Linked DNA regions of Medicago truncatula. The protein of the gene in region 1 interacts with the protein of each later gene in a pairwise test. Links are inferred from orthologs where the notes say so. Each region holds a gene or a part of one and is shown in the gene's direction. Other genes may lie near its edges.

Region 1 (16,558 bases):
CCCTCTCTAATTCCGTCACTAAATTTTGCGACCATGAAATTTGTGAGGAATTTTATTTTTTCCGTCACTAATTTCCGTCACTAATTTTGCTTTTTCTAGTAGTGTATATTGATTTTCAAAAAGAAGGAGAACAATTAAGTTTATAATGCTCTTGGCAAAACAAAAAAAAAAATAGTTTGTAATGTTCCCTCTCAAAGATTTTTTTTTGAGTTTGTAATGTTCTAGCAAATTGAGTTTGTAATGCTCCTCTTAAAACTTGTTCCAAAGAATAAAATACATACGGCATATGATTGTAACTTGTAATGTAACTGATGGAAATCATATAAACCAATATCATTTTTGTAAAAAAAAAATAAAAAAATATTATTTTAAATAGTATCTGTCGTAAGATATAAAATTGAAATACAATCAATCAATTGACCTTTAAGGTTAAAATAATATAAATTCACATTTTAACAAGTATTAAGCTAAAAATTATGTAAAAAAAAAACTAAAGATTACTTTTAACTTTTGAAATATTATAAAATATCAATGCTCTAAGGCATTATGCATTCGACTCATCTTATTTATATATTCAACGTCAACTTTTTCATCTAATATGCGACTCTTACTCGAACACATTTAATATAAACTTCTAAAAAATTGTCTAAAGGTGGACATCTCTAAAGCATGAATACTAGTAAAAAAAACAGTGAAACACTCCTACAATGATGCGTTTGTATCACCGGTACACGTACATAGGACTGTATTTTTGTTTATTATTCTTTTGTGAATGAAAGTTGTGGTTTTCTCTTATATATATTACTATAATATATTATTATTACAATGTAATATTATTTGTGCATATGAGCTTCTTTGTTGTTGTATCTAACCCTAATTTTCTGTCAAAAAAAAACTAACCCTAATTTATTTTTTATTTTATATATTTTATTATGATATTTTTGTTGTGAATCGAAGAATTTTGCTCTTTTCCGTTATATTATTTATATAACAAAACTCACCAAAAAAAATATTATAACAACAAAACCATGTTTATATTGATGCACCAACACCTTAATTTTTTAAAAAATTATCGTATTTTCATACACGAATATGTACCGTACCGGTACCGGTTCTCATGTCTTTTGTATAAAATTCATCTTTTAATTAAAGTAAAGGTCCATGTTAGAAAAGTCCCTCTTAGTGACACTTACTAAAATTGTTATGTAAGATCAGATTTATGTCTGTTCATCCCCCTAAAACTCACAATGTATCTCTCAATAGCAAAGTTTTACTATAAATAAGTTAACGAACATTGAAATTTCAACAACTTGTTTTCCTTTTCTGTAAGTTGCAGACAAGAAATAAAAATTATCAAGGTATGAAATTATAGAACTTGAGAATATATATTGTAGAGAGAATTTTGGACAAGAATACTCTACCTTTGACTTTATAGTACAACCAATCATAGACCGTTAGATTAAGTCATTAAGATATAGTCTTTTAATCTAACGGCCTGTAGTTGGCTGTAGATTATCCTTTTTTGGGGAGTTTTATATAGATATTCAATGTGACCATCCTAATGTGATTGGTAAACCTTGAGACACCGAGTTGAATTTGTATCACAAGGAAACTAGCCACTTTAATATGGTGTCATAGTTATCTTCTGGTTGAAAGCAACCCCACCCCTTAATTTCTTTGCAATATATGTGGTCCTAAACTTATATGACAGTCTAAACTCTAAAGTAGTGGCGATTGAGACAAGTATGCTGCTAAGCTATTGAAAGAAAAGAAAGTTGAAGATAAGTGGGGAGAACGGCATGCATAAATGGAAAAGACAGACAGAGAGAAAAACCATCAAATTTTTGTTAGTGTACTATGTAGGTATAGTGCTTTCAAGTGTGGATGTGGACTATTACCATTTTGAAAAATAAGTTGAGGAAATCATGCTGTGTTTTGGATTACAATTGGTCAATAGGGCTTTAGAGTTTAGAACATAGATGCCGGTGGCAAGTACAAGCACACATGTGCACTATATATTGCACAATAGCAATAATATATACATATATATCTCTATCTTTACAAAATAACAATCTTGGCATTGATAAAGAAAGAGTTAAATCAAGTTATAAGACAAAATTGGTTAATGAATTTTGTTTAAAATTTTAGCTAAAATAATCTCTGAGTCGAATATAAAATTATTAAAACCTCGTAAAAATTAATTAAGACAAAAAGAGATATAAAAGTGGTTACCTAGCTATAAATATCTATCAAGTTAAAGAAGATAAGCACGCATGGGAAGAGGGAACCAATAACTACTACAACATTCTCAAATAGATGTGATGGATAGATATAGATACATCATACATGGACATCTACTATATATCTACAATACTATACACCACAAAGAAAGAGTGATGGTGCATCTCTTTTTGGTGAAAGTGATGTTCTGAGCAACCCCAGTCAAAGGGAGCATATTGGCTAGCTAGCTACAAGTATACTGCATACATATATATGGATGGTTGGTTGGATAGAAATAATAATTGTACTCTCTACTCTCTCCACCACTTATCTCCTTTTAGGGTTTCAAGCTAGATACACTCATACACGTGGGTTTTTTCTTTCTTTCTAAATTTCAAACAATTAATGAATGAATGAAAAATGCATGATAAATATTAAAGAAGACAGAGAATAATAAGAAAATAAACTATTTGAATTGGAGGTCATTATCTTGGACAAATACCTTAATTTGCTCATATGATAAATTCAGATTGCTCTTTAGACATCTAACAATTACTCATAGACATCTAAACATCTCACTGATATATAGTTAATTATCGTTTGAACGCTTTTTAATTCGGTTAAACCGATTTAAAATATATTGAATGATAGTTAACTACCATTTAGCAGAACATAGTTAAATATCATTCGAGGTATTTTTTTAGGTGTCTCTGAATAATTGTCAGGTGCCTAAAGATTACATCAATGAGAAATTAGTGTTATATCACCCTATATGTACTAATTTTGCCATAGTACCATACTATTAGCCGTAAACCCTTATTCTTTCATACTTATTCAATAACGATTTTTTTAATTGTGTTTTTTTTTTTTGGTCAAGTAGTCTAGTGACTAGAGAAATTCACCTTAAAGATGAATAAGTGGGGTGTCCGGGGTTCGAACCCCGGCCGCTGCACATATTGTGCATTATCCCTTACCAAATGAGGTAAGCTCATGGGGACTTGAATTGTGTTATTTAACATCCATTTATATGACAACTTTTGAGACAATTAAAATTTGGCTTAATTGCACTATCTTTGGACCCCTATCTTTCTAAAAGTTGCGGTTATGGCCCCCTAACTAATTTAAATACAAAACAGCCCCCTATGTTTTGATTTTTTGACAGTTTTGGACCCCCAGTCCATTAGTGAGGTGTCACGTGGCCCCCTAAATAATACACATGGCACCTCACTAATGGAGCGGGGGTCCAAAACTGCCAATGAATCAAAACATAGGGGGCTGTTTTGTATTTAAATTAGTTAGGGGGCCATAACCGCAACTTTTGAAAAGATAGGGGTTCAAAAGTGCAATTAAGCCTTAAAATTTTATAAAGAAAATAAGGAATTGACACAAAAAACAACACAATAGAGAGAGAGAGAGAAAGTAAAAATATAATATATGATAGAGAAAATTGTAACAAAAGTTTTAAAAAAATGGTTTTTCAAATATCATTTCTCAATTTATTTACATCTCTCTTTCTACCACATCATAGACAAATCACACAAAATGTCCCTATTTATATCACTCATAGTGTATAAAAGATGTATAAGGGTTGTATAGATGTCCGCCCATCTTTTTCTTTAGTCTAATTGGTTTCCAACATGTTTCAATATTTTCTATTATATATCAAATGAGTAATGATATTTGTACACTCATTTGATGATAATTTTTGTGACAACTTTATTTTTCTCTCTTTTTATTAATCAAAAACAATATATATAGAGAGAGAGAGAAAGAGAGAAAAAAATAAAATAAAGAGATAGGATAAGAATATCATGTAAGTAATAGAGAGAAAATTGTTCAAAAGTTGTCACAAATATCAAATATCATTTCTCATATCAAATATACTTGAGGACATTTTTTTAAAGGGGAGAATGCTCATTCCACATCACCATCTCTTTTTCAAGCCAAACATATATAGCATGCCAAATAGTAATGTCAAAGACAACAAATAGATGGGAAACAAATTCAACATGAACAAATAGGGAGGCATAAACTTCCTCAAATATATAATGTTTGATTCAAGATCGTTGACTCAATTTTATAGTATATACTTATATATACGTCTATATGTATTTTTTATTTGTACCCGTGTCAAGACGTATACTAACGTGTTCATCTTTTCACTTTTTTATTGCGCTTAACTGTGTGTTTGTTTTATCTTATTTTCTTATAAATTTGTTAGAATATATTATAAATTAGATAATGTAAATCTCCACTAACGTTCTACAACCTTGTCTCATTTTGTTTATATTTTTCAATTTTTTTTAAGTACATGTTTGCACATATCCGTAAAGCATCTCCATATATATCCATATACTTTTCTTAAAAACAAAAATTATAATATTTAGGGTTCATTAAGTTTTTAGTCCCTATAAATATTCACAGTTTTATTTTTAGTCCCTACAAAATAAAATCACACTTTTTAGTCCCTGTGATATTTTTCTTTAAGCATTTTAGGGACTAAAAATGTTGATGAAAATTTTTTATAGGGACTAAACATGCTGATGGAAAAATTTTATAGGAACTAAAAATGTTGATGAAAAATTTTATAGGGACTAAAAACAAAATTGTGAATATTTATAGGGACTAAAAACTTAATTAACCCTAATATTTAAGATACATATATTCATGAAGTGTCTCAGTTAAGGAGCATCACACCCCATACTTCTATTCTATACAAGGTCAATGGTTATAAGCTTGGTATACATACATATATAGTAGTAGGAAACTAAAGGTGTGGGTGTGTAAGGGAAGTGATTGAAGAGGGTTTTAGTTTTCTGTCAATTCTCAAGCTGTGCCCACCACGTGAAGTGGCACACACAAACTATAACTTTTTCTATCCACTCACTTTCTTTCATTTTATCTTCCCTAAAGAGGTTATAAACTTTTTGCTCAAAAGCAAACCATATGATCCTTGTCTATAAACATTAAATCACTCTTGTTTGATTCTTTACCTTATTTCATATTTATTATTTATATTTATCTCCTCTTTCTTCTCTCCTTCCTTGCTAATTATACTACTCTCCTCGTAAGGTATTTTTATTTTCATTTTTATTATTATTGTCTATGTGCTGTCATTCTCATACTGTGTAGTACTTTGCATTTTTGAAGAAGCCAACTGTACAATTTATATATAGCATCACTCTCTCACACATACCGTGTATATATATATATACACGGTACTGGCAATGTCATAGAAGTAAAAAATTAATAGTACTTGTCTTACTCATCAAATTATGCCTTCCTTTATTTGCAGGGAGCAGAAAATATACACAAAAATGAACTGAAAAGGATGGAATTAATAGCTGCTGCTCTTACTTAAAGAGGAATTAACATGTCATTCTCAGGCTTTGGAAAGTCTCGATAATTAACAAGCCAAACCAAAATCTATAGCTATGTCTATATATATATATATATATATATTTCATCATCAAGACATGTACTAGCTAGCTAGGGCTATAGTTATTGTTATTATATATAAATAAAGATATATTTATAATATTGTTTGGTGTTGGTGCAGTACTGTCTATCTCAATCTCAATTCTCAACATATTCCAGATATGTATTCTTCAAATAGTTCCCTCAATGGAAATAACCTAGCATTTTCCTCTAAATCACCTTTTTGTTCATTTGAAAGCAACTCAACTTCATCAAAAGATATTGAAAACAGTCATTCCCCCTTTCCTCTTCCCAGTCCTTTCTCTTTCTTTCAATTCCCTAATTATCCTGATGATGATATTGATCCCTTTCAAGACAGCCATCAAATCTTCCTCCAACAACATGATGTTGATTTCCAACTTCATCATCCACCTGTTGTCATGAATAACAACAGTACTGATCATCATCAGCGGCCTTCCAATTCAACAATCAAAGCTAACAACAATCTTCTTCCTGCAGCTGCTGGTAAAGGCAAAACTGTAGTGGATCAGCAGATCCAAAGAAAAAGATCTAGCAAGAGAGACCGACACAGCAAGATCAAAACCGCGAAAGGACTAAGAGATCGGAGAATGAGATTGTCACTTGAAGTTGCAAAGAGGTTTTTTGGTCTTCAAGATATGTTAGGCTTTGAAAAAGCAAGCAAAACAGTGGACTGGTTGCTCAACCAATCCAAACTTGAGATCAAACTCCTTGCAAGAGAGAAAAATGTTAATTTTCCTACTAAGAGTGCATCTTCAACTTCTGAATGTACTGAAGGAGTTTCAAGCTTGGATAATGAAGTTGGAAATCAAGAAGAACCACAACAACAAAAACTTGTTATGAAGAGAAGAAATAGTACTAACAAGGTTTGTAGAAAGAGTGCATTCAATTCTATAGGTAGAGAAAAAGCAAGAGAAAGGGCAAGAGAAAGGACAAAAGAAAAAAGGAAGGCTAGAACATCACTAGTTGATGAATCAAATTCAAAGCAATACAATGAAGAAGGAATAAAAACTAACCTCATTTGGAACCCCTTTGAAAGTGTGGAAGAATCTGCAGGTACACATCAGAGTACTCAAGGTGTGACTCATCCTTCCTTTGATCATGTGAAGCTGATTGATGAGGCTGAAGTAGAAACAAGCTCTCAAAAAGCAAAGGAACAACATTCAGATGAAGATAATTCTTTGTTCATTATGAGCAAATGGAGTCCACCTATGATGTTCAATTCTCTCAATAACCTTCAACAAGTAAGTTCAAATTAGCCATGCATATATATATATATATGAAGCATGTATAATATATATCTGTAATCTGATATATATAAATCATGAAATTGTTTGCAGCATCAATTTGAACAATTTCACCAATCCATGGAAAAACCTTGGGAAGCATACAACAACCGCATTTAATTAACATGCTACCGTACTTGCACCCCTTATCATCACCTCCTCCTTTTTGTGTCAGTCAGGCTCAGAATAAAATGCATTATGCATTGCTGTGTTATTTCTTTGCTTTCCTTTTTGGAATGTTATGTGGTGAGGTATCTTCAGAATTTTGGAAACAATATTTCATAAATATTGTTGTGTGTGTATGTCATCTCTATTTAAAGTGTTGCCACTTTCTTGTTTGTTTCTGTTCTGAGTTCTGACCTTGAAATTGGTACAAGTTTACAATTTATATATGTGTCTCTTGTAAGGGGTATTTTTAATTGATGATAAAGAAAAATAACTGATTGATTTTTCTCCCTATCTGGTGAATATATGCAGTAATTAGTTATATATCATTACATTTTAGTTTTGAAATGGAGTTGAGGTGTGTTCAATTTAATGCTGCTGCTATTGATGTCATATCCATTTACATAACAGTGTTCCTGATCCTACCTGACATATTTCCACATGCTGTAGTTGTTTTTTCTTCTCTCAAAGTCCAACCGTCCCTTGAAGAAGGTTAGGGTTACTTGTCAGATGAGGATGTATTTAAAATTGTTTCCAAAACTATAATATATATTATGCATTTAGCCAATGTTTATAGAGGTCACTTTTTTTGTTTTTTGTTTTAATTGAGAAAGGAGAAGTTTCTATTAATCATGATGACAGTAACTAATGATCATTTTACAACTATTCTAGACGAGATTTAAACTTTGTTCAAATCAAGTTCCTACGACCTAATCGACACGTGAACTATTTATAGGTCACCGATTTAACACTTGGTCATCCGATATATATCTACTTAATTTGGACACATGTAATCCGCTTAGCGGTCTCAATATGTTTGTTAGGCTTAGATGAATATAGAAACTAATTTTATAATTGGATGCATGATGAAATTTGGTTTTTTTATTGGCAAAATATAGTAGTAGCTAGTTGTAGTTTTTGTTATAAGTTGTTTACACATAAGTTTAAAATTAGAATAGATTAATTACCTGCATATTAATTCCTTGAAGGTTAGGGTGATGAAGTGGAAGAGTGGTGCATATATCACCTAGCAGAACTTGTCTATACAAACTAGACAACTACAATATATACAAATTATTGTCATTCTTGCTCAAAAAAAAATATAGGTATATATTAGAGGGGAGGTAATGGTTTAGGGAAGTAACATATATGAGTTGAATAAAGAAATTCCCTTACAAACATTTCTAACAATTAGCTATTAATATTTGTCGTTTAAAAAAACTAGATCTTCATACGAGCTTCAATCACCGCATCAATATTAAATATTTGTACACATAGGAGTTTATGATTAGTTGAAAGTTACACAACATGCAAGTAAGATGATAAATATATCCAATACTTTATTATTTTGGATTAAAATGTGGTGTTCAATTTCACTTGTATGATTCCTTAAAAAAAAAAACAAATCACTTGTAAGTCGAATATGATGATATCTTTATCATATGTACCCATCAACAACATAAGAAATTTATATCCAGTGCTTGTAAGGGACAATTATGTCCAATATATGTTGGAATGCTGTAAACGTGTCTTCCAAGCCAGCAACACGATAGGGTCTAATGAGATTTTTTTTTTCCAAGACAGCAATGAAATACTCAACAAAGACAAACTATTTGGTACGTATATTGTGTCTTTTTTCGTTCAACATATGTCATTTTACAAATAGCCTTTTTTATCTATTTATTTTCCAGTTGTCTGATGTTTAATTTCTTAAATCGTACATGCGTGGTTCTAGCTAGAATTTCTTCTTATAAAGTTCTTTTCAATGATGAACGTAAGAATAATGGATCAACTTGCACTTACAGTTACATCCAGAAGTTTTGTAACTGCTGCAAAGGATCTGGACCCTTTAACATAAACAAATTATGCTTGACAAAAAAAATAAATTATGGACTACATAATTTGACTCTATTGTAGGATTGTAATGAAATATTAAACTCTATCAATATCTTTTATGGAGCTATAATATTGAGTTGTTAATTAAGCAGTAGAGGGATAAGGAGACTATTCAGCCTGCACTCCAACAAAATACTTTATCAAAAATGTGTCCTCCCTAGTATATATTTTGAAAGTCTTTATAGTAAGAATAAATTTTAAATATAAAACAAAATAATATATATCAAATTCAATGTTGAATCTATGGTGTACAAATAAAATAGTATTGCACTATGTATAATTTTTTTTTCCCCTCATTATTCAATCAATAAATCTCATTGTATTTCAGTTGATTTATTGGTAGGACTTATTGATCTAAGTGTGAAAACAAACTTGTACAAGATATAACACATACTTCACTTGTGCATCATATAAAACCATAGCCTAAATTCAACAAGAGATGCAATTATAATAACTTTATCATACAACAAATGTAAAAACAAAACAAAAATGCCCTTAATTCTTTATGCAGGGTTGTATACGTGGTTGGGTGGAGACTTGGAGTCCATATGTCAGATGTAATCATAGCTAGTTACATACAATGAATGTACCGTGAATGAGTCAATTCATGAATATATACAGCCGCACTTAACAAGTATAATTGCTTTCATTTTCCATAATTAGTTCCTCTCAATATATATATATATATATATATAACGACTAAATGAATGAATTGTCCATTTATAGGTTTTGGTAATAACAAAATGTTGACATTCTCCATTTAGCATGGTTTTATATAATTATATGAACAAATTCCTTATGAAATATATAGGATATTTCATTTCATTTAATTTCATGCACTGCACTGCACGCGGTCAAAAGTCAGGAGTCAACAAAGGAAAAGATAAGATTGCATAGCATAGCATATAGAATAGAATAGCTAGGAGTCCTTTATATGGCTGGTTTGTATTTAGCAGCAAAGAAAGATACCAAATTTTATACTGTATTTGTTCAGAGTATCAACTGCACTGCCACTCCCTCTCGTGTGGTGTGGCTGATTTGTGTCTTCTTATTTCTACCAAAGAAAGAATCTATAAAGTTTCAATTTCACAACAGGAATTTTCATTTTTTTCTTCTAAATTTCCTGTTAAATAATAATAATTTATTTTCATGACTTTTGTTTATTAACTGTGATACTTTAGATTATACGGTGAGATGTTATTCGAACGCACGAATACTCAGAAGCTAACATTTGTAGCTTTGGCAATGTCCCGACCAAAATGCATTGGGACGCAAGAAACTAGGGTTAAACGCGTATCTAAGCATTGTGTAATTTGTGACTTGTAAGGGGTACTGCAATACAACAAATATTCCAACCTTTTACACAATAGAACTTTAGACATCCTATAAATCAAGATAATAGACTACAACACCAGCCAGAAGCCCATAATATGTTGGAGTGGTATGCCTAAGAACATCCACAACGACCAAGCTAAGGTTTTAAGTTTTGCAATGCAGACCCAATATAAATAAACACCTTTATTACAGTGTTAAAAAATGTAGTGATTATTTCGAAAGGTTTTATATTAGAGACTCACTCTTCATTTTTACGCATCCTACTTAGTTTTTTGTTTTCAAATGAACAAATATTAATTAGTTGGCTCAAAATTTTGAGAATTGAAACCTTAGTTTGAGTTGTTTGGCTCTTGGGACGGACACCAAAGTCACCAAACACAAAGACATATATCCAAGTGCAACATATGTCCAATACCTTAAAGACAAAAGAACGTTGCTAAAAAGCACCACCTAATTGCTCAAAATTTCACGAAAACAAAAATCGCAATCTAGTTTCCGATACGCTTTTAAATTTAAATTAAAAATTGTCTATCGGAAATTACATTCCGATAGGTTAGGCAACCTGATGGGTTTGTTGAGTGTTATTATAGGAAGAATGAAGAAAAATTAATTCTTTAAATCCCTCCAATATCAACAAGTTTGTTTCATACTGTCACAAAATTGAAAAGATTATCTGCTGCTGTTTTTGCATACAACAAAAATATTGGACCTCTGCCTTTGCAATCAGAATTGTAATTTCATGCCTGTCTTCTCATTTCATCCAATCCATGGATCCTAGAAACAAATCCCTAAAATGGAAACAGCAACACACAGATACCCTAAAACCATGAACAACCAGAAACCAACCATCCCCGTATATCAAAAGCCATTAGAGTGAAAGTGTGGTTTGTTGTTTTTGGAGAGATAAATATTTGTGGGTTCTACTCCTCCACATATATTCCTAACAACTGTCAACATCTGTCATTAAAACAAAACCTAGAAAATCACCCATATGAAGAAAATGAAAACCAGATCTCAGATCTAAACAGTTGGAAACATCCTTAATTTGGAAACAAATCCATAAATGACACAAACTAATGAAACCAACTTCTTTATATTTATATTGTCAAAAAAACATAAAATCTTGTAGGATGCCCTAAAAGACACAACAAAAGCTGAAAATGCTTCCATTTCTGGAAAATTAGTAACCAAACTCAAATCCTTTCATCAAGAGTTATGAGAAAGGAGAAGAAGAATATCTCTTAATATCAACCAAACAAAATCACCATTTCGAGCTTACAACCCCTTTGACCAAAAACCCTTTTTGGCTTTTCTCATAGGATACCACAATCATTGTTATTGGTGGAAAAAATCATGAAAAGGAAAGAATTGAAAACATGACAAAACAAAAAAACAGGATAAAATATACCCGGATCCAGAAATCAGATAGAGAATATAGCAAATCCAAAAATATGCAGATAGGGTTAAGCAGAAGAGAAGGTTGTTTTATGATTATGAATAGCCCTAGGTAGGGCTAAGAAACCCTAAACTGGACAGTAGTGATTGACGCGTATATAGCTAGCACAAATGGAAAACACCAATGAAATAAAAGATGATTGGTCTGAAATAGAACATCAAATGTCGTCTCTCTCTTTTTGGGTAAAAAGATGGTTGTTATTATTAGGGCAAGTAAAGTAAATAATTGCAAACCAGGACAATGTGTTTTTCTTTCCCCCTAACTCTTTCTGCAGCTTAATTTCACCTCAGTACTCGCTCTGTCTCTCACTTTTGTTTCTTGTTCTTGTTCACTAGATCCCAATACTGTTGACTCAGCTCAAGGAAACATGGAAAAAAACCTAAAACATAATTACAATAAAGGTCTTGCTAACGAGTGTCTTTATGGCACTCTTCAAGCATTCTCAATTAAAAAAGAATTTACCAAAAATTTAAACACTTGATTTCTAATGCATTCAATATACAAGTTCTAAAGTTACAAGATTATTAACTTACTATTTAAGACTCTTAAAGAGTATCCTTAAGAAACTCGTTAGTTTTTCCCATATAATAATATATCATGACACGGATAGGAACAAACAATATATACTCCATACATACGTGGTTGGGAGTGTAGTTGGCTATGCTAGTGGATTTTAGTCATTGAGTATTCTCTAATAAGTAAATCATTAAGTTAGTCTCTGACTTTTGTCCAAAAAAAAAGTTAGTCTCAAACTTTGTAAGACACTCTCAGATAAGTCTTTGAGATTATGAATGTTTCAAAAAGATCATCAACTCTATTGAAATATCAATTACATCCTTATACTTTGATCATTTACTATCAATATCATCTCTAAATTTAACTTACTATCATATATGGTCCGAGACTCGAATGATGTGTGTAAAATCTGAATTAATTCCTACAAGTACACTCTAAAAGGAGAGATAAAAATATTTGTATCTCTCCCTTTGGAGTGCACTTGTAGGAATTAATCTAAATTTTCATCATCGCCAATTTTATCTTAGGAATGATTCATTTAATTCATCTTAAGTTCCTTTTAGCTGGCCAAACATCACATCCTCTATAGTATTAGTGATGCCTCTGCATATTCTTTTCTATATAGTCATTCCATCAACAAAAATCTATCTAGTTATTTATCTTTTACATCTCAATTCTCTAGTAAAGTTTGGTTTGTAAATTGTAATATATGGAGTGATGTTGTGTGATGGTAGTAGCCAATATTTTCTGTAACATGGTGTTATGCTTACATGGAAGAATGTATAGAGGGTTAGAGTACGTAAGATACGGTCTTATTATTTTGAAGAGGCAAAATAATAACTATATTAATTATGATAATATGTTTTCGGAAGGGTGTTCACGGGTCGGTTTGGTTTAATTTCGAGTGAATTCGACGCCCAAACCGATTCAAAGTTTACATATTGACTTTAGTTGAATTTACATGTTTTTGGTATAAAACCCAAATCAAACCAAAATATTATAACATTGAGAACTTTGTAAAATATAATATAATATCTAAAACTAACTTAAGAAAAATAAGCGTGGAACCAAGTCTCACACGCCTATTGTAGTATGACACAAAATCAAAATATTAGAACTTCCAAAATAAAATACTTATAAGTATGTTGTCATTTCTCTATCTCTATTTGTAACTTTGAGAATGACAAAAAAACCTAGCTTAACATTTTTATTTGTTGAGAGGAAAAACTTAGCTTAACATGTTTTTAATTTGGTTTGACTTTATACATGTAGATGTATAATACGTAAAATATTAACAAAAATAAAATAAAACATGTGACGGATTGGATATGTGAGTGACCGGGAAAAAATCTTAAAACATGTTGCTCAAACCAAATATTTGGTTCGATTTTGTTTCCGATCAATAAATTAACCAACTCAATCACTTCAGTTAGGTTAAGATTACAGTTTGATTCGGTTTTGCCAAAACTGATGAGTTAACATTCTAAACATATTAAGATTTTAACTTAAGGTGGAAATACGCCAATTTTAAAGGGGTGGTCATTACTTACAAGTTTTGAATTTTAAGATTGATATAGTTGGCTTATCTCCAATCATTACATAGTGAGAAAAAACACCAATTATGCATTTGTGGAATTAAAGGATAGTAACTAGGAAGTGATAATGCGGCACTGTGTATATGGAAAGAAAAAATAAACATAAAGTTACAGAATTAAAAGAAAATGGAAATTGGGCAAAAAAAATGGTTAGTATTTTCCCTAAAAAAAAAAAAAAAAAGTTATTACTTTGATCACGCTTGTGACACAATTATCTAATGATTAATTTTTTTAAAAGGTTATATAATGATTAGATATACTTTAATTTTTTTGACTTTTGATGACAATTCCTAAAAGGTTAATTAAAGGATAGACTATTATTGTTTTGAACCCCAACCATTATAACATGTGCTTGGATCTTTAGGAAAGCATGCTTAACCGTTACAGCACTCCTAAGGTTTAGAAACTCTCCAGAAGGATCCAGAAGCTAGGGGCGTCCCTGAGGGGGTGCAAACAGCTCAAACGAGTTGGGCCTCCCTCAAAGATGGGTCTCAAGAGTGGGGGTTCCTCATAATTGATTTTGGTGTTAGGTGGAGGTTCCTCATGTATACGGTAGTCATTTTCATCTCTTGGTGTACCGCATATATACGGCACTTTGTATTTATCTTTTAAAAAATATAAATAGAACATCGCTCTTTTAAAAATAAAAATAAAACGTTTTGATTTTATCACTGACCTCTTTTCATTCCTAGAGCCGAGCCTCCGAATTCTCAAGGACGGCCCTGCCAGAAGCCTTTCTATAGGTTTAAGAGCCCTCCAAAAGGGCCTCGTGATTGAAGGCGCACCCTTCAGAGGGCGTCGCCTCAGCCAACTTCTAGAAGTCTCTAGAGTTCGGCTAAAAGATTGAAAAGCTCTCATTGCTTAAGGTTTAAGTCACGCGAATATTAGCCCATAATAGCCTATAAATACCTCCTTTGAGAACCTTCTGAAGGCATGACCTAAACAGTTCTAAACTTTAATTCTAGATACTGTACTCACTGCAAGTACACATGTTGTTTGGAGCTTCGTATATATTCTGGTCAAAATTGCACTTGGGATGCGAAATTGCTCAATGAAATTTAGATTCAAACCTACACTCTGATCCGAATATAAGCAAAAAAAATTATATTTTAGATTCATTTAATATGATGTATGTAGTTTATAATGTAGACATCCCTATGCAACATCCACGTGCCTTGATGTATTTACTGTCGAGGGGTCTGGCTTTACCAGACAAATACAAAGAGCATATGGATCAGTTGGATCTGACGGGTGTTATCATGTCCCCGTATGTTGAACACTGTCAGACATGTCTGTTCGAGCAGGTCAACCTTTACTATGGATGGCTCAGATACGGTACTCGTAGAGTGAGATATTTTTCGGAGTGGGTGCTTCACCAGATTGGGTTTGTCCAGACCGTCCCCAAATATTCATGTGATAGTGCATCTCCCAGACGACCTTATTGGTGATCAACTACTGTTATGCACACCATCTTAATCATATGCTGACAGATCATGACTTGGGGATTGTTGTTATAACTGGTATTGAGACTTGACAAGGATACATCATATGGTTTTATTCCATCTCACATCCACGCATCATACTTCAGGATGAGGCTGTTTATGTCCCGAGGCCACTCGAGCAGGAGGCCCTTCATGAGATTGCTGCTAAGAAGGAGGGAGAGCATGGGTACCTTGACATGACTGGAAGGTTGTCGTATCAGAAACCATGTCTATTCCATCATGGCCAGTGGTGTGGTGGCGCAAGCGACTGATGAATGGAGCCATTTGGAGGGCGGGTTTATCGTTGTAGGCGTGGTAGTAGAGGTGGGGGTGACAGAGCTTAGTTTTATGGTGTTGCAATATTTTGACTCATGTTTGATGTTTTACATTTTGTGTTCGAAGATTTGGTTTGTATTCTTTGAATAATTTCAGTTTTAAATTTCATGATTGAAAATAATATTGTTTTTTATCGTTTTTATTGAAGAATTTGTTTTATACGATCATGAATGTATGTTTATATTATTTGGAAGCAATTTCTTACCATATACATGTCTCAGCCAAAAAACAATGTTTATGTCTTTGTGCTAAGACAGTTCGGATTATATAATTCAAAATGTACCATTTTTTACTCCAAAGTTAGGCTTTTATGGGATGTTTGACACTTTTCAGATTTTATAATCTAAAATGACTAAAAGGGTTTCAGATTATACATTCTGAAATATAGTTTTATAGAAATTACACAAACATCTCCAAGATGCTCTAGGTTCCAACAATTTAAGAACTTTCCAGATTTTAAATCCAAACTGATTTTAGATTCTAAAATCCAGACAAATAATATTTTTGAAGAAAAAAAAAATAAGCTCGTGAGAATGCAATAGGGTGAAAAAAGTAATATCCTTAATTTTTTGGGTTTCAAAACAGCACTAGTTCAATTTCATTAAACATCAGAAGTAAATTTTGCGTAAGAAAATGGTCATTATCATGCAAATCATTCCACACATTTGTTAGCCTTAGAAAGATCGTGTTGAAAAGAAATGGTTCAATCTCGACGAAAAAGGTGAAAACTCAAATAATCAAATGAGCATATGAATAAAATGGTTTAGCATAGCATTTGTTGTGAGAATTCTGCTCTTTACCCAACCAAAAATACTC
Region 2 (16,264 bases), on another chromosome or scaffold:
TTTATGACATTTTTGCACATTAAGGATCTATGAAATTTTGGTATAATTAATTCATAGCATTTTAATTCTCTTTGAATTATTTGTTATGGATTCTTCTTCACACATTTGTCCTTGATGTGAGAATATGTAATAAAAGCTACTTGATGTGTTAATATGAGAGATTTGTGCCTATAATTTCATGTTGATTTGCTGTTTTGATTTGGTTCATAAGTTCTTAATTTTATGAACAATATATGCATATTTTGAAAGATATAAAATGCCAAGTTTATTCTAGAGAATATGGCATGAAACCATGCTTGCATGTTTCCAATAATTCCATGCTATAACTTGAGATAAAGAAAACTCTTTCAAAATTTGTTAAAGCATGAGAATTAGAGGCCAAGAATGCTTTAGGTTTCATACCTAAGTTTTTAGGGTTTAATGTCATTTTGTTAACTTTTTGTGCCATCTTGCATGCTTTTATTTCTTAGTACTTGTTATTTTTTTTTTTACTAACAAGTTTACTTTGGTACTTCATACATATCGTTTAGCATTCCATTTCCATTCTTTTACATAGTTTAGTTTCTTTGCATTCATTTTTTTACTTTTATTTGGAATTGTAATATTTAGGTAGGTGTTATTTTTTATATTTCATGCAAAGACTATAGAATGTATCTAGGACAATGTAAAAGGGACTATGGACTCTATTGATGTACACCGACACGAGCACCGACACTCACACACGGTGTATGACATTCGTTTAGATGTATGATTAGGGAACGCGAGTACTTAGAAAATATTTTTTTTCGTAAAGCAAACCAAGTTCCATAATTCTAGCTTTTTTTTAAATTGAACTTTGGAGTCAACACTCCTTTGATGTTTCCTTTTACTTTCTTAAGAAAATTCTAAATAAACCTTAAGTGACTTAGACTATTTTATTAAGTAAAATTGGGCAAACTTCACATTTTTACTTCTCAAGCCTTTAAGGCCTCCTTTCTCTTCTTCAAAAAATCATTTTCAAACTTTAAAAATCAAATAGCAACACATTAAAATTTTCTTCAAATCAACTAAAAGATAAAAAGTCTTACAACTTCTCTCCCCCCATTCTTAACTAAATAAACCTCCCATTTTCAAAAGTAAGTAAAAATAAGCGTGAATATAGACTTAGGAAAACGGCTCCTATAGAGGACTATAGTTACTCCGGGTGCCTAACACCTTCCCGTAGTAAAACCGACCCCCGAATTCGGAAACTCAAGGGTTTTTCTCCTTTTACCCTTCCCAAGAAAAAAGAGAGATATCAACGGTCGAAAGGTACAAGTCCAATTAATGGCTTGGCACCCAAAAACCATGATAACAACCAGGCTTCTTACAATTGAAGCATCCCTTCTGATCTTCTTTCTTGGAGTTCTTGTAGCTACCTCTCTTGCTCAAAAATTTCTTCTGCTTCCTTGCCAGATACTCAAGCTTGTTGGACAGCATAGCCATCTTTACAGATTGATCTTCATCAGAATCTCCATCAGGTGATTCTTCTTCAGATTCACTGGCTTTGTAGGCTTTGGAAGATTTTGAAGTCTTTCCTTTAGATGGTAAAGCAATGGATTTACTCTTCTTAGAGGTTTCATGCTCATTTAAACTCATTTCATGCACTTTGAGTGAGCTAACAAGATCTTCAATACTTAAAGTATTTAGATCCTTAGCTTCCTCAATAGCAGTTACTTTGGGTCTCCATCTTGAAGGCAAGCTTCTCAAAATCTTACTAACATGATCAGAAGCAACATAGCTTTTCTTCAGTATTTGCAATCCAGAAACTAAAGTTTGAAATCTTGAGTACATTTCTTCTATACTCTCATCATCCTTCATTCTGAAAAGTTCATACTGATGAACTAGCATCAAAGCTTTAGCCTCTTTCACCTTCTTGCTGCCTTCAAAGTTTGCACATAGAGAAGCAAACATAGCCTTCGCAGTAGATTTGTCACTCATCTTCATGTATTCGGTGCGAGGTATAGAAGCCACAATGATTCCTCTTATCTTGTGGTGTTTCTTATAAAGCTTCTTCTGAGCAGGAGTATGTATTCTTCTGTCTATAGCAGCTCCTTCTTCATCTAAATCCATATCATCAACTCCATCTTCCAGTATGTCCCATAGCTCTTCATCCAATCCCATGATAAAGCTGTACATATTTGTTTTCCACCATGAAAACTCTTCTGGATCTCCATTAAACTTTGGAGCTTTTCCAGAGTCTGTTTTCTTGTCAGCAGTATCATAGTCATGCTTGACACTTGTGTATTTTGTAGTAACTGATTCCTCATCTCCAGACATGTTTTTCTAATAGATCTTGAACTGTAACATGGTTAAGTGCTGTGATAACAGAGCAAGCTCTGATACCAATTGAAGGTGAAAAAACACAAGAAGGGGGGGGGGGGGTTGAATTATGTTTTCTTTTTCTCTTAAAAAATACTTCTTCTGATAAAACTTCAGAAGCAGTTTGAGTGCTTCTGATGAAATGATCAGAGTCAGATTGCAGCGGAAAAGAACAGAGAAAAGAAAGACAAAGACACAAGCAGTTATCCTGGTTCCTTCCACAACACGGAAGTAGTCCAGTCCCCCTTGCACTTCCAAGGAGATTTCACTATAATCACAAAGATTACAACTGCTCAATACTTTCTAAGTATGAGACTTCACAAAAATGCTCAAGCACACACGCAAGAGTCTTCCAATGCTCAAGCACTAAGCAAGAGACTTCTAATGCTCAAGCACGCAGGCAAGAGACTTCTGATCAAACAAAAATACAGAGAATTGAGTTTGACTTGAACACTTGATATACAATCAGTGGTGTTCACAATACAATACAATAAAGACTCTAGACTTTGAATTTCTAAGATGTATCAAATCAGTGCAGAAATTCAGTGTGCTTTGTAGAATCAATTTGACAGAGTTTTGGTGCTTTTGAACTTGTATATCTCTATCTCATATCTTCAAGTCTTCACTCCTTTATATAGAGGTGTGAAAGAGACGTTGAGATAATCAGCACGTCTAAAGAGTCGTTTGAAATCCTTTGATCATCCACCAGTAATCCTTTGCCTGATTTGGGTGTAGTCCTTTGAAGAATAAGCTTCAAATTCATTCCCATCTTGAACGTACAACTTCTGCAGGCATGGCTGTTGTCTTGTCTTGTAGCGTAGATAGAAAACAGAGTAGTGGAGATAGTGGTTGTACACTTGTACTTTGTCAACTCTATTAACGAGAGACAAGTGCTCAGTGCTATCCATATATCCGTTGATACCTCCCTTTCAATTCTTCGTTCTTCTTGGATAAGACTGAATTGAGAATCAGCTACTTTGAATCTTCAGTTTGTTTAAAGGATCAAACGTAGCTTCTTGTGAAGATATTGCTTCTGATGAAAACCTTTGCTTCTGATGACCTTCTGCTTCTGATGACGTCATCACTTCAGAAGCACTTCAGCTTCAAGAGCAGTTTTCTTCAGATGCTCAGAATTTCTTTTTCTTTCAATTGTTCTTCCAAGACCTATTGAAATAACTTGAGTAGCCTTTGGTCCTGTACACTTGAACAATTATTAGTAATAACCAATTGACAACTTTTAATACCTTGTTATCATCAAAACTCAATAAGGTTCATTGTAAAACACATTTTGTTCCAACATAAATATCATTTACTTTTTGTAAAAAAAAATTAAGATAGGCAGACATGTATCATTATCTTATGAGTAAAATTTTATTTATCTCTTACTGGACCCCATGAACTAGAATAACGGTACCTAAACTTTTTCTTTGAACCATAATAGTAGCTAAATTATTCTAAATCTATCCGGTTATCTTTGTACTATCACTCTATTTTATACTTTGAAACCAATTGAGTGACCAAGTATTTGATAGATTACATGACAATTCTTTTTTAGGGGAAGAAACTCAAATCATTCCATTAGATAAATAGTGAGAGATATAAGGTGGTACATCAATAAACAATTGAGAGATTGAGAGTTAGTTTTTAATGGGTTGTCTGTCCTAACTCATAAGCGACCTCAATTGCTTGCCTTCGGTTAAACTCAACCAAAGAGTTGTTAAATGACAAACCTAACAATTGTATACGTTGTTAAATAATGACGTCGAGCCCATTGTTATAACTATGGTTATTATTAATAGCATCGACCACAACCTTTGAATCCAATGAAAAATCCATATTGTCAAAGCCCAAATTAGCTAACCACTGTCAAGTATTAAACAACCCCAATGCTTCACCTATTTCCACTGAACATAGAGGGGAGAACCAAGTGGTGTTCGCAAGAACAAAACAACCTTCAGCATCACGAATATACATACCAATGCCAACTTTATTATAAGAGGGAGAGAAAGATGCATCATAATTACATCTAAGTTTACCTGGTGCAAAAGCGGCATCAGTTGTTGTTGCATTCCTTGTTCGTTCTTGTGCAAGCTTCCAGTCTTATAACATATGTGTACCACACTCAACAACTTCTGATGTTGTTTCATCAATGTGTTACCATACTTTTTAAATTCTGACATTTCCTTAAGCTACAAAAAACAGTTTCAAAGAGAGAACATTTGTGACGGGTGAAGGTGATGTAGTAATTTAAGCACAATCGCCTTTGTATTATCATGTTCGCTCAAAATTTGTTTAGTATCAACTCGTAAGTTTGTTGTATGCCATTCCTGAACATACTAGAGACAAGTAAAGAGAGCATGTATGGTATCTTCAATACCCTCGTTACTGATAACACAATCAATGGGGCAAGCAACTCCTCTACTGATAAGGCGTGCATAAGTAGGGAAACAATCATAACATACCGTTAAAATCAGATTTTTCACCTTTAACGGAGATTTGATATTCCAAATAAAATTCCAATGTCCCGGCCTTTGAAGGTGAGAAGTGTCTCCAATGTTTTAAGCACAAATTCGGTAAGCGCTGCATACAAAATACTTGCCATTCTTTTCTCCTTTCCATACCAAGGTGTTAGTTGTAACTTGTGGTAAAAGGGGTATATTGAGTGGTATGCAGATCAAACAGGAAAGCCAGAAGATGAGCTTTCCAAGTCTTGGTTGCCTGATCAATCAGTTCAATATCAAGGAAGATTAGGTTTTTTATTCATATGTTTAACGACGATAAGGGGGGAATTATGTAGTTTTTCGTCCTTTTTCAAGCGTTCTTCCCGTCTTCAAATGGCTTGAAACGTAAGATGAAATTTCTCCAACTTGTATTGTCTTTACGTTCTAATAACCATTGATCCTAATTCTTCAAATTCCTTGATTCTCAAATCCCTGATCAATCAGAGTCTTCTTTCCTTCAAATGATTTTGAATGAAAATTCTCTTATGAACAAGATGTTGACTTTCTAGTTGACCTTTCTTTAGATCTTGTTTCAAGTCATAGTAGCTTCTCTATTTGGTTCAAATTCTATCTTATGTGTTCAAATCCTTGATGTTTCAGAACCTAAACTTGACTTAAGAGTTAGAATTTAATTTTAATGTCCTACACATTTGAACACACATTAGCATATCCAATTGTTCTTTTATACTTTGTAATCATCAAAACTTATGAGGCATTTATAAAACTCATTATGGTTCAACAATTTCGGTTTAAGGAAGGAAGATTGGTAATACTTCAATATTTAGTAGGAATCCGTAGGTTGAAAATCTAACTCAAAGTTGTTTGATTAGCCGACTCTCAAAAAAATATCCCACCTTAACCTAAGTCATGTTACAACCCTGCAAGACCTTAAAGCGTTCCCAAACCAAGCAGTTCTTAGGTGTTTTGATGTAATTCAATGTAAAATCATACAAATCGGCAAAGCAAAGCATCTCAAGAGGGTTTGGGAAGATAATGGATGATGATTCAAGAGGTCTCGAAAGACATTGCAAAGAGAAGAAATTATATTCCAAGTTACGAGACAAGTTTCAAGGAAGAAAACACACAGAAAGATCAAAGAAAACGGCAAAAATGCGTTGCCTAAGGCTACTCGTGCCCCTTGGGGGTGTTGTTGCGCCCCCCGAGAGTGCAAACATTGAAGTAGCGCGCGAGGCATGCCATCCCACGTTAGAGGGGCATGTGCCTTCGGTTGAAAAATTCTCATACTTAGCACCTAGGACTAAAAAGTGTGACATACCTAGCACCTATGACTGAACATAGAAACATAGCAAAAACTCTCTTCTAAAGTTTCATACTATATCTTATTATTAATTGTTTTTACTTTCTGCATCTAATAAGTAACACTAGTTAAATAGATCACACACATATAACTTATTAAACACGGACACTGACACATCAACACTGTTAATGTAAAAAACTTAGAACACCGACACCGCTACACATATATTAATTAATTTATTATAATTAAATAAAATATTAATATTGTTTATAGAATATCTAAATTGAGATCAAATTATGTACAACTGCATGTAAATTGAGCAATTTATTTTATTAAAAAACAAAATATAATAATATATAACATTTATTTATCCATCTGTTATCGAAAAAATTAATAAGGTTGTAATCTCACTTAATATATTTAACCTCTATTTGATCAAACATAGCTTCAACACATCTTTAACTCTTCTAGATGTGTTTGAGATGTGTTCAAAGACGGTATTAGATGTGTTGAAGCAATGGGTATTTTTATTTTCTTTTGGATACTTGACTTAGTTTGAGCGAGACATATCATACGGGTTTGAACACCGATCTAAAGAGTGTTAAAGCAAAATAAAACAAATATTTTAGAACATCAGTCTGAAATTTCTGACACATATCATACGAGTGTTGAACTTCGACTCGTGCCTGTCATCACATGCTTGAGGTGATTGTGTTTCATAACATATAAAAGTTGCTTATGCAAGTTTCTATTTTAGAGGTTAATGCAAATAGTGATCATATAACTTTTTTTGAATGGCTTACACTATACACGTATAAGTCACCAAGCTAGTTTTGGGCAAGTACGTACACAACTATTTTTACTTTTTAACAGCTGTGTACAATGAACACAGCATACACCCATCTGTTTCACATAATATAGGCGTGGAAGTAACTAACTAATGATTTACCTATTTTTTTTACCTTGAGATTACTGTTGAAACTGTCATTACTAAAATAAATGATTACTACCTAACCATATTTAAAAATTAACATAAGTGGCTGCTGATCAAATCAAGATTTGGCTTCTAGTTCCATATTTTATATATTGTTTTTGGAGGTCCCTGCATCTATATACTTGAGTGGTTTTTGAGTCACCAAATTCATAAACTTTTCACTCTTTCTTGCTCTTTGAAACTACTACTTCCATCCCCACTTTAGTGTACATTAGGTATATCCTCGCATATAATTGCAGAGATTAATCGTTCAAGTTGGATCAGATCACAATAGAGCGCTAAATTTTTCTTAAATAGTTTCAGCGTTGTTGACTTTTCATAAGTTCCTTTTTTAATTTTCACATGAATTTTTTTATAACTATGTTATTGTTGCGAAATATCGAATAACTTCAGTTGAAAAATCTGACTAACCTTCTTTAGCAAAGTCTCTCTCCCAACCACATTTTTTCATTCACACAACTCGAATTCAAGACCTTACTTAAAAGATTTGAGTCTAGTTCCACCTAGACTAATATAATATTGGTAATTTTCAAATAGATAAAGAAAAGTAGTAGGGTTTATAAATGCATCCAATTATGATTTTTCATCTTCCAATACAAATTAACCGTATCATATTAACAATAATAAGGAGTATATTTAAAAAATAATAATAAATATATCTAATAATTTGAGGGACGCATTTTATTTTTACTAAAATGCCTAAGCAAAAATGTTTTTACCAAAATATATTTATAATTAGAAACATAGCTGATATCATGCCTTCTTCAATATTCTTTTTCATCCAATTAGCTTATGTCATTTAAGTAAACAGGTCCATTATCTAAAAGAGAATCATCTTAGAAATAACACACTACGCACGTTCATATAAAATAAATTGACTTCAATTGAACACCATTTTTTCTCCTGCACCTACTTTAGCCTAAACAGTCTTCCAATTGAATTATTATACTCCCCATTATATGAACTACTTTTGTATAAGTTTATCTGATGTAAGCATATTTTTTGTCCAAAAATGATTATCCATTAAACCAAGTTGCCTCCCCCACACGTTTGTGTCACTTGTGTTGTGGATGTGTTTATCTATATGTATGTGTAACATCTTATTCATCCATCTAGCTTGTTCAATGAACCTAAGGCCCCACATAATGGGAATAGGATTCCGTGTTGTTATAGCATGGTGTTGTAATTAGTGATAGTCGTCCGATCACAGTTGGATGGTAGAAATCGTTTTAATTAAAAATACACAGTTTTCAATCTCAACCGTTCTATCTAAGATGAACGGCTGAGATAAAAAATTATGTAAAACTGCGTGTTGTTTTTAAAGCAGCAAAACCTGATCCCACATAATGGATGTTATTATACATGTACATGAATAAAGAAGCTATGTTTAATTTGCTTGATTGGATTAGCCTATTTAGCTTTTCAAAAACTTTATTAAAAATGATCAAAAGAGTTTTGAGCTTAAAAGCTATCTCTTTTAAGCCAAAATAAAGTAATCCATCATTTTTAAAATACCAAAATGATAGTTTGGATGGATTCATTTAAAAGACACAAAATATAGATAATATATTAAACAATTTTTATTCTTCAATTATCCTTCAAAAAAAAAAAAAAATTTTATTCTTCAATTCATTTGTGTTTTTTTTTCTTCTTCAAATAGAGTTCTCTATTTCTTTCGAAAAATGAAGATGATTATGATCCACTAAATAAATGTCATTAATGACATATTAAGATTGTCAGAAGAGTCTAAATTCATGGGACACAGAGACGCTCACAAACAAAGTAATTCTACACTTACACAAACATGAATAGTAGACACATACACAAACATCAACAATAACTTATGAAAATAAAAGTAATTAAATGTAATCACATGTGACAGATACTAAATACATCTTCCATGTGTAAGTGCTACATAGATCTAACATAATATTAATTGCATATATAGAAAGATGACATGAGTGCAATGATCTACTCTACATTGACATCTTGTTACTTTCCATAGGGCCATTTCACCATTTTCCCTCCCTATATATACTAACTAGTCCCACTCATTTTCCATCCATCTCCAAATCAAATTAAATTCCATACTCCAACAATTTTTGCTTCAAATCCTCACAATCTTATATTCATTATTCCACCATGCAAACCAAAGAGATTAATACAGGACTCAATTATTTACTCCCATATTCAGATCCATCTCCCTATCCACCATGTAACTATAACATGATCCAAAACACCATCCAAACACCTCAACATCCAAAACTCTCCAACCAATTCTATGGTTTCAACCAAAACCCTATTCAAATTCTCCAAGACTTCAGTCCTCCATCCTCATGCATAAGCAGCAACTCAACTTCCGACGAAGCGGACGAACAAAACCTAGGTCTAATCAACGAAAGAAAACATCGAAGAATGGTATCGAACCGAGAGTCAGCACGCCGGTCGCGAATGAGGAAACAAAAACAGCTTGATGAGCTTTGGTCACAAGTTGTTTGGCTAAGGAATGAAAATCATCAATTACTAGATAAGCTCAACAATTTCTGTGAGACTCATGATAAAGTTGTCCAAGAGAATGTTCAATTGAAAGAACAAGCTTCGGAACTTCGACAAATGGTGTGTGATATGCAGTTACATAGTTCTTGTCTTCCTTTGAGTCCTCTTGAAGATGTTCCTAGCATCACTTCACCAAATGTTAAATCTGATTCTTCAAACTAATAAATCACAAGTTCTGTTGATTTGTTAGGGTAAATTTGAAGATAAGAGTCACAAGAGCAAGTTTTAATAACTCTTCAATTTTTCATCTTTTAGTTCTTCTGTTTTTTTGAGTTCTATGAGGTGAAACCATGAAAGGCAATAACATGTTTTGTTTAATTTGAGTATCTTTATTTTAAGTTTATGCTCATTAACTTTACTACTTCCTCTTTGTACCCAAAAAAAAAAAACTATGCAATTTCCTATTTGTCTATAAATGGTGTAGTTTTTAAAGTTCTAATGATTTCTTCTAAACAATAACATTTAAAATGGCTAAGGATAGAAATCCAAATAAATAATTCATAAACCTTCTGGTTAATTAATTGTTGGTCACACTCTGAATATTTTAAAACACTATCATGATTTCCATCCAGAGAACAATTAAAAAAGACTTGATTCGCGACTCTATTGAATCCCAATAACTAAAGAAATCAGAATAGATAAGGAGAAAAAGTAGATTATGTATACCTTTTTTTAATTACACTTTTGGTCCTATCATTTTGACCAACTCACGAAAATGGTCATATCTTTTTTAAATCGAACAAAATCGTTCCTAAACTATATGTTTTTTGCAGTTTTAGTCCTATCTCCCTATTTCCAACTCCAGAAACGCACAGAAATGACAGTTTTAGTCCAACCACCTATGCTCAACCATGAAATAAACAAAGAATAAAATGTGTGGGTACAAGGAATCTACTTTATTCAGCACACAAACCTAATTTCCGAGACATGTTACATACCTGAAACATGTCTTAGAAATTTGGATTTTTCTTGGTTTGTGTGCTGAACAAAGTAGATTCCTTGTACCCACATGATTTATTCCTTGTTTATTTCATGGTTAAGCATAGGTGATTGGACTAAAACTGTCATTTATGTGCGTTTATGGAGTTGGAAATAGGGAGATAAGACTAAAATTGCAAAAAAAACATATAGTTTATGGACGGTTTTGTTCGATTTAAAAGAGGCAGATCAATTTCGTGAGTTAGTCAAAATGCAAGGACCAAAAGTGTAATTAAGCCTTATAAAAAAGATTTTTTTTTATTGGAACCATCGTAATTAAGATCTTTGACATCTAAATAGTTCTATAGAGTATGCATAACTTCGGACCTATAGACCTACTATGAAATTAATCTCCACCACGGTGTTTAGGTTACAATAAAACTCTTCGAACTTTCACAAATATTTGTTCTATAGGGTCCTTTGGACCGGCTAGATTTATATAATTATATAAAGATGTTTTGATGTACCTATTTTTTTCTCCAATTTTACTCTTCATTTAAAATAGTTTATTTATAATTTTATTTTTTTCATCAAATCAAATAATTGTTTTATTTTTATTTTATTTTTTAGTGTCATTAATTTTTTTTTAATAATTACATAAAATTTTGTAACTTTGATTATTTTTATCGAGAAAAAATGGACAAACGAGTGTTTTAGTTCACTATAATATATACAGAAAATTCTTTACCAAAAGAAGGAAAGCAATATTCTGTACCACACCTTTCATTGTTCAAATGGCATGCTCTATCTCACTATATGCATGCCTATTACTTCCCAATAAAACAATTGATTTGATTAAACAATTTACCTTAGTATAAACCACTTAAAATATTATAAATATTTATCTTTTTTAATTGATTAGTAATGCATGTTCCTTCTCTTTTATTTCTTCATCTACATCTATTGCACAAGCATAATTGCTCCTTTGAATATCTGTTTTTGAAATACATACAAAAGTCAAACGAAAAAAGTACAAAACCAAAGAAACTATAGGACAATGTCCCTAATGAAAGTCAACATGAATAACTCATCCTTCTTCAGTTTCACATGGTAAAGAAAGTGTGAACATTACTTACAGCCTTTGGATTCTGTTAATTATACGATTCTCATAAAAAAGTCAATTGCATATATATTGCCTCCATTTCTTGATTTTCACTCACTTATGTTTTTAGGGAATTCATTTTCACTTTAAAAAGGTGAAAAATATAATCAAATTTGACAATTATTTTGTATTATTAGGACACAATTTTTTTTCTTAATTTATTCTAGAAAACAATTCACATGTTGCATAATTTTAGACTTTCACTACCCATACGCAAAAGAAATTTTTTTACCCTCTTGAAATTGGGTGTAACTGATGAAGAGTTATATATATATATATATATATATATATATATATATATATATATATATATATATATCCGATATGAGACTTGAGTTTTTTCAAATCACTTCTCCATATTTAGTGATAAACTTTTAGCAAATGTACTAAAAACTATTGAAGTAATAAAATGTTCGTATCCACGAGGACTGCGTTAACTTCAATATAGCAATATTTGGTATGAATTAAGATGTGTAAAGTTGGGAGGTTGCTCTAGGCACTTGGTTGATTGGCATAAAATAATAATAAAGCTTGTAAAAGTGTTGTGAAAATAATATGAAAAATCAGATCAACTCTGTCGAATCCTCTTGTTATCACTGTTTGGTAAACTGCACTCATCCTTAACAATGTTCTTCTAGTTCTACAATGATTAACAATGTTATCTATGATCAATTCCTTGACTGAGAGCTCTCTTCAATGGCTAGAGATTTATAATTCCTTAAGTGATCTAATATGCTATGAGGATTTTTACTATCGTACCCAGGAGTGGTAGTTAACTATCGTTGCAAAGTTTTTTTTTATTTGAACCAGGTTGCACATACAATTTATATAGTCCAGGCGCTCAAAAACTTCTATAAATTGGTGTGTTTGGTTCATTTGTTGTAAAACACAACAAAGACCATGCACACATATCCAGAAGATATGAACACCAAGTTAATCACACTAGGGGAAAACCTAATCTGCTTAGGGTCCGAATTGATGTCACGCTATCTAGGTTGAAGGATTAGTTGGATCAAATCAATCCCCGACTCAACCACAAACGCACACAGAGGGTGAAAAGTGTTGAATATTTCGATTCATTGACCACTTCAAGGGAATCACCTAGTTTGCCCAAATGAAGCTAAAAAATGACGATCACATGAGAATAACGTTCTCAGTATTTGGTCAGTATATTTCTAAAGGATCGATTGAGTTTAACTCTTCGTTGGTCATATCTTTCAAAGATATTCATGAAAGTTTGATTCAGACCATGACCTACGAAGAAATCAGAGCTTGCAAAGATGAAACATATGAAGAAGTTAGTTTGATTGATCCGTGATTTATTATATTGTATTTTATTATATGTTTTAAGTTGTTGAATCATGTTCAATGTATGTTTTTGTTGTCGTCATGCATGAATTGAATAATCTTGTCCAATTTTGATCAGAAGAACCATCTCATCTTTTTTTTTTTATATCCTTTTGCTTGTGTTATGTACAAATGCATTAAATGCTTGAAATGTGTTTTCTCTATAGAACCGGTAGATAACTACCATTGCAACAATGACAATTAACTACCGTAAATAAAAAACAATAGCTAACTCCTCTGAAATATATTGGGCCTGACTTTGACCCAAGATTCAACGAAGTTAAGATATCGATTGTAGAATCAACGGCTATGATTCATCGGAGTTGTTCCACCTAACCCACTCACGGAAGTTGGAAAATTTTGACCTCACATGCAACAAGCCTCCAACAGATACGTCTACAACAACAATAATACGGTTCTTTTTTTTTTTTTTTTTTTCTTCTTCTTCTTTTGGTACAAAAAATATTACGTTCTTATTATAAGATTTTTTTTAACTAAATCAAATTTTTTTTTGTTAGGTAGCGTAATGACTAAAATTCAACTTATAAGATAAATAAGTGGGATGTCCGAGGTTCGAACCCAGCCCCTGTATATAATAATGCATTATCCACCAACTGAGCTATGCTCACAGGACATATAAATCCAAAATTAAAAGTTATTATTATTATTATTATTTAAATTAATTTGTTTTGTTACATTTTTTTTTTGTCAAGTGTTTTGTTACATTTAAATTAATTATTTTATGACAGAATCAGAGAATATTAATAGATACCAAAATGGATTCATTTTTCTTTGTCTGAAAAGATTGGTGGTTGGTGGTCTTGATAGCCATCGTCGAGTCGACCATTGAATTTCAAGTTTCATTTCAACTCCAAATTTAATATTACAAATTGGTAAACTTTCTCACTTTTTTTATTCACACTCTATAATTTATATATACACCCACTTTTCTCAATTTCATTCACTCACTGTCCTCATTTTTCACCTAATCTCTTCAATTTTCAGGTCTGTCTTTTCATTTTCCTTTCTTTTTCGATTTTGGATCCACTTTCATATCAACTTCATTTGATTAGTTATTTATTACTGTGATTTTTGATCTTCTTAGTGATTTCTGATCTGGATTTGAATTAAACTCTTAATTTTTACTCTGATTTGTATTCTTTGAATAAATTGTTCTGTGTAATTTTTATATGGATTTAATTTCGGTGTACTAAAGTTTTACACATGCATCTCAACACATCTGATTCTAACTATATTGCTTTTAGACTTCTAGTTCTAAGTCATATATGATTGGTTGTGATGAGGTGATAGTGTAGAGTTTTTTACACTGATAGTGCATGGAAATTAAACTCTTACCTGTTATATGTGTAAAACTTATTTACACTAACAGGGTATACCAATTGAACGATCTTGCTTTTACACTGTCAATCAATCACAACTGTCATATCATTAGAAGTATTTGTTATTTATTTTACTTACTTCTAAATTCACACCCATGATTGGTTGTGATGAATTGGCTATTTGGTGAAATGCGATTAGATGTATGTGTAAAATGTATTTACACTAACACTGTATTTACAAAAAGGGAGTGTAAGATCTTGTGAAACTTGGCTGTCTTACTGTAATTTAGGTGACTTAATGATAATTCGGATTGTTTTTCTAATATTATACTATTGTACTTTTGAATATTTTGAGTTTTTGTCGAGGTCATTTGCTTGATATGTGAAAATTTAGGAAAATATGCTCTTGTTTTGTATTTGTGTGTAGGATACTTGAAAATTGTCTAAAACTTTAACAATTATCCTCGGAAATTTACCTTGAGTTATCTTTGTTCTCACTGCTAAGACCGTAACCTGATCAGTGTCGGTTCAACAAGAACAATGTGAAATGAATATATGTGCCTTAAAGAGTCAAAACAGAACTCATTCGTTTCCATTGAGTTTGTTAAACCAGTACAAATGAAAACCTTAATTTGTACTTGGATGAGTTTGTTTTAGTGGAAATACTGTTCTGATTTGTTAGTTTATACTCTATCTGCGCAGTAACATCATTTTTGTTTGAATTTAATTGATTTCTGCGCTGTCAGTATGGAAAAGTTTTACACATTCATCTAATTACATCTCATTATTATGCGACTTTACTGTATTAATTCATAAAATATCTCTAGAATTATATTATATATATGGTGAGATGTGATTGGTTGTTTGTGTAAATCTTTTTTGCAGTGACTGTGTATACCCCATTAAACTCTTTTTATCTTTATTTTTTCAAAAAGGGAGTGTTGCATCTTGTTAAACTTGTTAGTGGTTCTGTTTTTTAGGTGACTAAATGATGTTTTGGATTGTAATTCTACTACTATTGTACTATTGTATTTTTTTCAATTTTTTGAGCTTTTGTTGAGGCCATAGTCCTTGTTTGATACGTTAAAATTTAGGAAAGCATGCTGCTTGTGTGATATTTGTGTGTTTAATAGTTAATTCCAATCTTTTTGGACCAATGATGATGTATTTATCTTAGCGTGGTTTTGTTTAGTGAGGCAAATTAAGGTGCTCTAATGTTTCTGTACTATGATGATCATGGGATAATTTTGTTATTCGTAAATTTAGGGAATCTTAATACTTGATGTCTATGTTTGTTGGAATTAAAAGATACTTTTCTCCGTTTATTCTTTATTATTGGAATATGTTCAAATATATTGATTGTTCAAGTATATTGCATTATTTACTATTGGTTTATTGTTCTAATTGTCTTTGTAATTTTAATTTATAGCATGTTTTTCAATTGAATGAGAATTCATTTGTTCTTATGACCGTATCAATCATTGAACAGGAAATACATTATGGCTCAACCACTTACAAGAATAGGCCTTGCCGGACTGGCTGTTATGGGCCAAAATCTCGCACTCAATATTGCCGACAAAGGATTCCCAATTTCTGTTTATAACAGAACAACATCAAAGGTTGACGAAACTGTGGAACGAGCAAAACAGGAGGGAAATCTTCCACTCTATGGCTTCCATGACCCTGAAGCCTTTGTTAATTCCATTCAAAAACCAAGGGTGATTATAATGCTTGTTAAGGCTGGTGCACCTGTTGACCAGACCATCAAAACCCTATCTGCGTACCTGGAAAAAGGGGATTGTATAATTGATGGTGGTAATGAATGGTATGAGAACACGGAGAGGCGAG

Evidence for each region.
Region 2: the proteins of transcription factor DICHOTOMA (region 1) and basic leucine zipper 43 interact in binary tests that used the Arabidopsis thaliana proteins (3 or more experiments, as listed by UniProt). The link is inferred for Medicago truncatula from reciprocal best matches to the Arabidopsis thaliana genes BRC1 and bZIP43.

What each region holds. Positions count from the first base shown.
Region 1 is NC_053045.1:54,380,395-54,396,952, reverse strand, and holds transcription factor DICHOTOMA, read left to right. Parts: upstream 1-5,784; 5' UTR 5,785-5,819; coding exon 5,820-6,920; intron 6,921-7,016; coding exon 7,017-7,082; 3' UTR 7,083-7,421; downstream 7,422-16,558. UniProt on the Arabidopsis thaliana protein: Transcription factor that prevents axillary bud outgrowth and delays early axillary bud development. Indirectly required for the auxin-induced control of apical dominance.
Region 2 is NC_053048.1:5,995,812-6,012,075, forward strand, and holds basic leucine zipper 43, read left to right. Parts: upstream 1-9,117; 5' UTR 9,118-9,235; coding exon 9,236-9,811; 3' UTR 9,812-10,007; downstream 10,008-16,264. Other genes in the region: 6-phosphogluconate dehydrogenase, decarboxylating 2, read left to right, coding at 15,916-16,264. UniProt on the Arabidopsis thaliana protein: Probable transcription factor involved in somatic embryogenesis. Acts as a positive regulator of BHLH109.